2 linked regions of the Lepisosteus oculatus genome follow. The protein of the gene in region 1 interacts with the protein of each later gene in a biochemical or structural test. Links are inferred from orthologs where the notes say so. Each region holds a gene or a part of one and is shown on either strand. Other genes may lie near its edges.

Region 1 (3,750 bases):
GCGGGGGGTAGGAGCTGCCGGGCGGCTGTGGGGGGGCCGCGGCAGGGGGGGGAGGGGCCGCCGCCGCCGCTGTTGCTGCTGGGCTGGGGGGTGCAGATGCCATGTCCAGAGTGTAGTCTTTGAAGGCAGGGACGAGGTCAGGGCTGCAGGGAGGGCAGAACGAGCAACAGCATGATGTCAGACACAGGCTGCCCACAAACACAGCAAGCAGGCAGGCAGGCAGCCCCACAGACCAGCTACTGCTTCTGCCCAGAGCCCTTCCTGGGGACACTCAGAACAGCAGGACCAGCGCTGGGCACTCAACTAAAATCCACAATCGCTCGCCTAAAAGCTCAGCAACTCTGCTTGCAACCCAAACTCCTGCAGTGCTTCGCAGACGCCACTCAACATCAGTTACAGACCGTTTCCAAATTCTCTGCAAACCTGTCTTGTCTGCCCATTAACAGCAGTGTCTGAGAAGCGATAGAGTCCTGAAAACTGCAGGATTAGACATCGGGCTTTTCTTCCCAGCTATTTTAAAGGCTACGATAGTTCTTCGCTGCCTGATCCAAGACAGGAAAGCGGAAACGGGAAGTTTACCTCTCCACAGTTATACAGATGACGGCACCAATGGGCACGTCCCTGGTTCCCTCTGCCACCAGGATCTTCGCCAAGTAACACTCCTCCAGAATCTCAAAGCCCACCGTGGCCTTGTCCGTCTCCACCTGGCGAGAGAGCGAGTGTGGGGTTAGAGCACGCAAGACCAGGGCGAGGCAGGTGTGAGAAAGGAGAGAGATGAAGGGAGAAATACAGACGAGACAGCATGGCCGACGGCTCTAATTGTGGGCCAGCACTGTGCAGCCACGGGACACAGGAGCAGTCCTGCACCCTCACCTCGGCGATCAGGTCCCCCTCGCTGATCTTGTCCCCCTCTTTCTTCTCCCAGCGAGCGATGGTGCCATTCTGCATTGTGGGGGAGAGTGCGGGCAGCACCACCTGCACAGAGCCAAACCACACCGTGACACAGAGACCTCCTCCTCCTCCTCGCACAGGCGCACTTACTGTTAAAGCGCGCATTCAACCTCTGCATCGAAAACCGCAAGGCTGCTCTCTTCAACACCCTGCTCATTTGTGTCCCATACTGCTGAGCGATTTATTTTGGGAAATTGGGCCATTTTATTTTAATGCAAAGGAACAAGTTAAAGGTTTATTCCATGCTGAAAAGAGAAGAAATGGCAGAGCACAGTGCAGGACACGCCCACAGCCCTGTCCAATAGGAGCCAGGGGCATGCACAGTCAGGTCCAGGACGCCTGCTCTCCACACACAGGGATGCCAAGACTAAGGCAGGGGAGCAGTGTGGAGGAGCAGTCAGGGCAAGCTGTGGGTTCGAATCCCCACTGAGGTACTGCTGCTTTACAGAGGCAAGGGGCTTCACATCAACAGACTTCTGTAACAATCCCAGCTGTCAAGGAGGACAGGACAGGACAGGTGTGCACTTATTTGAGGATCAAAGCAGAAAAAATGTGTTACTGGAAGTCCGGAACAACTGCAAAGCCAAGTCATTGAGGCGAATACTCCGGCATCATCCAAGACAAGTCTGGATGAGGTCCCCAGAAGATATTAGCAACCGAAAAACCACATGAGCTAGACGGGCACTGAACAGCTGATCATCAGAAGCAAACCTCGGAGCCTCTCTCTCAGGTGACCTAAAGGGACACCTGAAACAAGCCGTTTATGAGCCTGAACCGCAGGGAAAGAGAAGCTCACACTGGAGAGAATGCCCCGTGAGAAAGGTCAGCTCTCGGAGAGGAGCTACGGCCCGGCCCGGAGCCCAGCGGCCTCAAGCTGCAAGGTGACACGGACAGCCGGCCGCGCAGCGCGGAGCAGAAACACTCGGGACAGGAAAGCCTGCCGTTAGCGTTGCTAAGCAGTTACCCCGACTTAGCACCGTGGCGCAATTCGTGCCAAGCACTGGAAAGGTGGAACATTTATGTCTCCGTGAAAGAAAGTTTAGACTTATTTGGCAGCCTACACAGCGCCATTTTGTCCATTCCTAACGCTGCACCACACAGTTTGGGAGCTCTATACAGAAGCCTCTATAAAGATGCACACGCCCGCCCAGGTGGGCGAGCAGGAAACCGTCAAGCCCGTCTGGGAGAAGCCTTACCTTCTGGTGGGGCGGCAGGCTGTACAGCCGCTTGCCTTGGCAGCTCCGTGCGGACAGGTAACTCTGCAGAAACCCGCCCCTGCCGCAGGTAACCGCGGTGGCGTAGCACACGGGCCGGACCCGGGCCGAACCTCCGGAGTGGTACCTCCTGAGACGGCAGGACCCCGGCCGGGAGCTCATCCCGGGGGCCGAGCCGGGGCCGAAGCGGGGGACCCGCACCGACTGCCGCAACCGCACCGCCCAACGCAACATTCCGAGCTGCTCGCTTAACGGCGCAACACCAAGAAGTTCCCCACTCTGCAGAAGAGCTGGCCTTTTAATGCTTCAGAGCCGACAGCCTTAATGCCGCTCCGGTGTCCCCCAGTTTATAACGAGAGTCCCTCCCTCACTTTCCAATGACCTCCCCGTCTCAAAACATCTCGCTTTACGGCTTACCCGCAGCACCTAGGCTCCGCCCACCAGAGTCGTGTGAGGTCGTAAAGCACGCTGTCGTCAAGCAGCGCGTCTCTGCCTCTGCACAGGCGGGAGGGGGTGGTGTCGCTTTTTATAGGACTCAGCTTTTGCGACTCTGACCTCGGCGTCCTGTTGAAATACATTAGCTAATAACTACCCTACTGTGTTTCTCTGATATTGTTGTTTTAAAATATCGGTCTTGGTAGAGCTCAGTAACTCTACCAGTAACTAAAGATGTAGAACAGATCCCCTCCGCGTTCTCTTTTTCTTGCGTTGTGGTTTTGAAAAGAACCTAAACCAGTGAGCAGGCATACATCGATTGAAAACTGTCAATTCAAAATTGCGTTGCGGGATGGCATGAATAAAAAGTATCTTCTATGTATTCTATAAGCTATTGATAAGGCAGCTTATATCGCACGTGTAGCTGATCTAGATACAAGGTGAAACAACACAGAAATGTTCTCGAACATTGCGGCGTGACCTGGGTTCGATTCCGGTCGGGGGCACCTTTTGCGAGTTTACATGTTCTCGAGTTGTCGAGGATTTGTCTTCTCCCTTAATAGAGGGTAGATGCTGTTTATAAAGAACCAACATACGCTTTGATTTTAAGCAAGTAAAACCGGAAACACTGAGGCCCTGCAGGCAATACCGAGACTCTGTTGCAGAGCATCCGGCTCAACTGAATGTCCACGAGTGACAGAACAGCAGTAGTTCCACCTGTCGCCTCCAGGGGGCGCGCAGACACCGCTGTATAAACTGTGTGAAGTGGCCTGGGAAGCACCTTTAACTTCCTTTAGAAGTTGCCATGAAATATCGTCAGTGAAGTAAAAATTAAGGAACTTTTGCAGAATAAGCTGAACAATAACAGTGTGTCTTGGTTTCTTATGATGTATCGGACTGATTCTCGAAGCAGGCGTCTTGTGAAACGTCAGTGTCCCGGGTATCTGCCTGCGGTTCTGCTGGGCGTGTGAAGCAGCAGGTTCGAATCGAGACTTGTGCCAGCGAGCAGTGCAGTGTACGCCTCGTTCGCGGCTCTTCTGAAACACAGTGACAGCAGGGGGGCGTTTCTACAGAAACCAACCGTGCAACGCAGGCTGTGAGCACTCAGGCCAGAGGGACCAGACAGGCCCGTTTTTAAAAAACATGCACT
Region 2 (3,750 bases), on another chromosome or scaffold:
GCGCTTGAGGCAGGCAGACCTTTGGGAGTTGTAAAGATCAGTACTTTGATTTTTCTGTAGGCCACTTAAAATTGACTATTCCTTCCCTCATTGTATGTAGTTCAGGGTGGGGTCTATAAACCACCAATCCCGATTATCATAATGAGATTTAGATTTCCTTAGCCAACTTTAACAGTTTCATTTTGAAATAAGTCTAAAAAAAAATCACCTTAATATCAAATGCTGAAGAGTATAAACCAAACTGCTTTTTTACAGCATGTTAACATAGTATTAAAGTCCTAAAAAAAAAAGTCTGCCCAATGAGGGAGTAAAGAGGACAAAACATTAATGCCCTAGAGCTACAGTACCTGGATTATCATCTCGAATAGCCGATTTCAGCAGACCCTTGGCATCCTCAGCATTCCAAGGGCTGAGCACCTTCAGACCAGGGCAGTGCCCATACCAAGCTGCAAAACACTGGGAATGCTGGGCTGCCACCCCAGCAGCAGCTCCATTAGGTCCACGGAACACAATGGAGACAGGCTGTATACCAGAAGACATGTAGTAGGTTTTGGCAGCCGAGTTTATAACTTGATCAATGGCTTGCATTGAGAAGTTGAAGGTCATGAACTCACAAATAGGCCTCAAGCCAGCCTGGAAAGAAATCAATAAATTGGCATCATGTCAACATTTGACAGTTTTATACCAGTTGTCACATTTCCTCAACACCAAGGTCAGACAGCCAAAGCTGTTCACAGACATGTGGCTAGTGATAGTAAATCAGACACAGGTCATTGGCCAACATTCAGATTGTAGAGGTACAGATGGATGCAAATGTTTTACAGAATGCAACATTAAGGATACCATTTGTTCTTCATTTAGAAAATTGAAGTTGACAAGGGGTTCATGGCTAGCAAGGCATGAGGGAGGTTGGAGAGAGACATGACAGCAATACTTAAGTCATATGGACTTCTAACGAAAAGAAGTCAACTCACCATAGCAGCACCAACTGCAATGCCAGCAAAACCCATCTAGAAGACAGTAACATGCCACATTATCATAATGAACAGCAACTGGTTAAGAAAATCCCCATCAGCATTTAAGAAGAGAATGCTCACCTCAGTAATGGGAGTGTCAATTATACGTTTGTCCCCATATTTCTTCCACAGTCCTCTGCTAACCTATAAAAAAAAAAATCAGTAACAATGGCAATTAAGTCCAACACCCATGTGGCACAAGTCCTTTACAAAATGTATTTCCACAAACTGGTTCTGGATGTTAGCCTACCTTATAAGCGCCATCATACTGTGCTACTTCCTCACCAAGCAGAAACACACGTTCATCCCTCTCCAGCTCTTCATCCATTGCTTGGTTCAAAGCATCACGAACAGTCACCTTGAAGGTAAAGGGTTACTTAGGTTGAGATGATGCAACAGGAAAGTCCCAGATACCAATTTAACTTAAAAGACCTCAAACCCAAGTTAAGGTTCTACTTACAAGTTAAAAAGCAAAGAAGTTTGCCAAATTAAGATAGTCACTTGTCAGAAAGTAAGCAAAGTATTTCTGCCTACAAACAAGGAGACCATTTGGCCCAGTTGGTGGCAGATCTTCATACACACATCTGTATCCTCTTGAAGGGACCTCAATCCTGCCTTGCAGGGAAGGTGCATTCAAAGTACATGCACACAAGATAGCCACCATACCAAAACTTTTGGAACATTGGGATTTTATACTGAAATGTGTACCCAGAGCAGCCTCTGGTTTCGTTTAACAGCATTAGGCATTTGCTAGATGTTTAGCACTGCACACAGTGGATAATGCAAAAGACACCAGAACCAAGGGGGATATTGATTTGTAAAGCCAATATTAGCTGCCTCAAGATTGACATCTAGAAAAGGCAAAGCTCAGATGTAAAATGAAAACCAGGTCAACTAGTTCTATAATTGGACATTGCTTAACTGGGGAAATCACAAAACCTTAGGCCAACAAAAAGAGTTGAGCCTCTTACCCTACTTAATGCTTTAGGAAAATCAAATGAACCCCCCCAAAAAAAATTACAAGCAACTAAGCTAGCACTCATCTGCTCAAAACAGCGAGTGGCATCAGAAGGCTTGAATTAAGCATGTTAAACACAACTAACACTGCATATTGAAGACGCTATTTATGGTACAATACATAGTTGGTACTCGTCTGGCATTCGAATTCCTCAATTACCGGCTTACGTACTACTACATTAAGCGTTTCTAGATTCCTCGTACTGAAGCAGCCTATCGCCTACTCACAAGACAAAACGGAAAGGTACCACCCACAAATTCAGAGGTCCCTCACAATGTCAAAGTTATCCGTGACAGCGCACAAGAAAACCTGTCAAAAGGCGTAAACCTGCATTACAAAATGTAGGTTAGCTTAGCTTCAACCAGAAGTGGGGAAGCATAGAATATACTGGGTGAATTAACCTTCTCCCGTCATTCCTGCGGCTTTGGATAAAGTAGAAAAGTACCTGCAAAGAAGCCGGCGATGTCCTGTGAAACTCCCTCCTCAGTGTCACAGAGACTACGCTCTATTGAGGGCAGAGAAAACAAAAACACACCGCAAGTTGAAGCAACGACTCAAATAACCAAATAGCCATAACAAAACCTTAGAGAAGCCCTTACCCTGCCAGACTGAACCAAGCTCCTAAACAACGCCATCTTGAACCTGTCCTCTAACTTCAACACCGCCCCCTGGATCCCTCTTTTAAACCAATAACAGAGCGCGATACTGGCGTCAATTGGAAGAGAGGAAAATCAGAGAACCAATCACTGCCCTTCTTTCGGTAAAGGAAGCGGAAGTCTCAATTTGTGACAGCAAAAGATTGAATTCATTCCAAGGACAATGTGAGCCACTGTTTTAATTAAGGCTGGCTGGTTCGGTTTCGGGAGCAATACATTTCTTCTCCCTGCGTTGCTTGAGACAACAATTGATCTATGCATAATATTACTCTAATCTGTAATAATACTCTATATCTATGTTTAAAATACAAAGTATTTGCACAGTGTGCAATTACATTTTGTGGCATGATACAAATAGGCTACCAAACAGGTGTCCATAAAATGTTGCACAAATGTTTGAAAAATAGTACAGTCTTTTTTATTTTAAAGGTAATCATCAATTTCCCTACGGGATCAATAAAGTCTTGTCTTATCTTACCTTATCTCTTAATTAACCCAGACTTTAATCAGCTTAGTTGTATTAATGATTGCCTAACTCATCCACCTGCTTGCAGTTTCATTGGCCACAGAATTTATGCAGTATTTGGTTTCAGCTGTTATTTTGCAGTGAAGTATATGACACTGCATGTAACCAACAGCACTTAAATTTCAAGACACAATAGTTCCAAGGCCAGCCTCTGTGATGCTCCTAATGTAGTAACACAGGTTACTGCATATATAGATTGCCTTGTGGGAAGTGGGTGACAGAACTGTCAGAACTGAAAGTAGATAGGTATAGTATTGAATAATGGGTGAACTTGTCTTAATCCTGAAACAACAAACAAACATTGCACCACATTTGGCGAGCAGCTATATCACCCTACAACGCACAACTGGCAACCCACTGAAGTATCTGGATGGGACACCTCCTGGGAAAGCTAATTGGCCATTGGCCTTTACCAATCACGGCCTCCTAATAATCCCCATCTATGAATTGGCTTCATCACTCTGTTCTCCTCCCCACTGAGAGCTGGTGTGTGGTGAGCGTTCTGGCACACTATGACTGCTGTCGCATCATCCA

What was found. The genes of interacting proteins can lie anywhere in the genome.
Region 2: the proteins of dlat (region 1) and pdhb form a complex in vitro, tested with the Homo sapiens proteins (2 studies listed by BioGRID and IntAct, with this or other methods). The link is inferred for Lepisosteus oculatus from reciprocal best matches to the Homo sapiens genes DLAT and PDHB.

What each region holds. Positions count from the first base shown.
Region 1 is NC_090718.1:15,306,430-15,310,179, forward strand, and holds the start of dlat (dihydrolipoyllysine-residue acetyltransferase component of pyruvate dehydrogenase complex, mitochondrial), read right to left. Parts: upstream 2,594-3,750; 5' UTR 2,400-2,593; coding exon 2,148-2,399; intron 976-2,147; coding exon 874-975; intron 705-873; coding exon 580-704; intron 144-579; coding exon 1-143.
Region 2 is NC_090699.1:56,371,808-56,375,557, forward strand, and holds the start of pdhb (pyruvate dehydrogenase E1 component subunit beta, mitochondrial), read right to left. Parts: upstream 2,730-3,750; 5' UTR 2,670-2,729; coding exon 2,634-2,669; intron 2,540-2,633; coding exon 2,480-2,539; intron 1,375-2,479; coding exon 1,267-1,374; intron 1,161-1,266; coding exon 1,098-1,160; intron 1,011-1,097; coding exon 975-1,010; intron 634-974; coding exon 348-633; intron 1-347. UniProt on the Homo sapiens protein: The pyruvate dehydrogenase complex catalyzes the overall conversion of pyruvate to acetyl-CoA and CO(2), and thereby links the glycolytic pathway to the tricarboxylic cycle.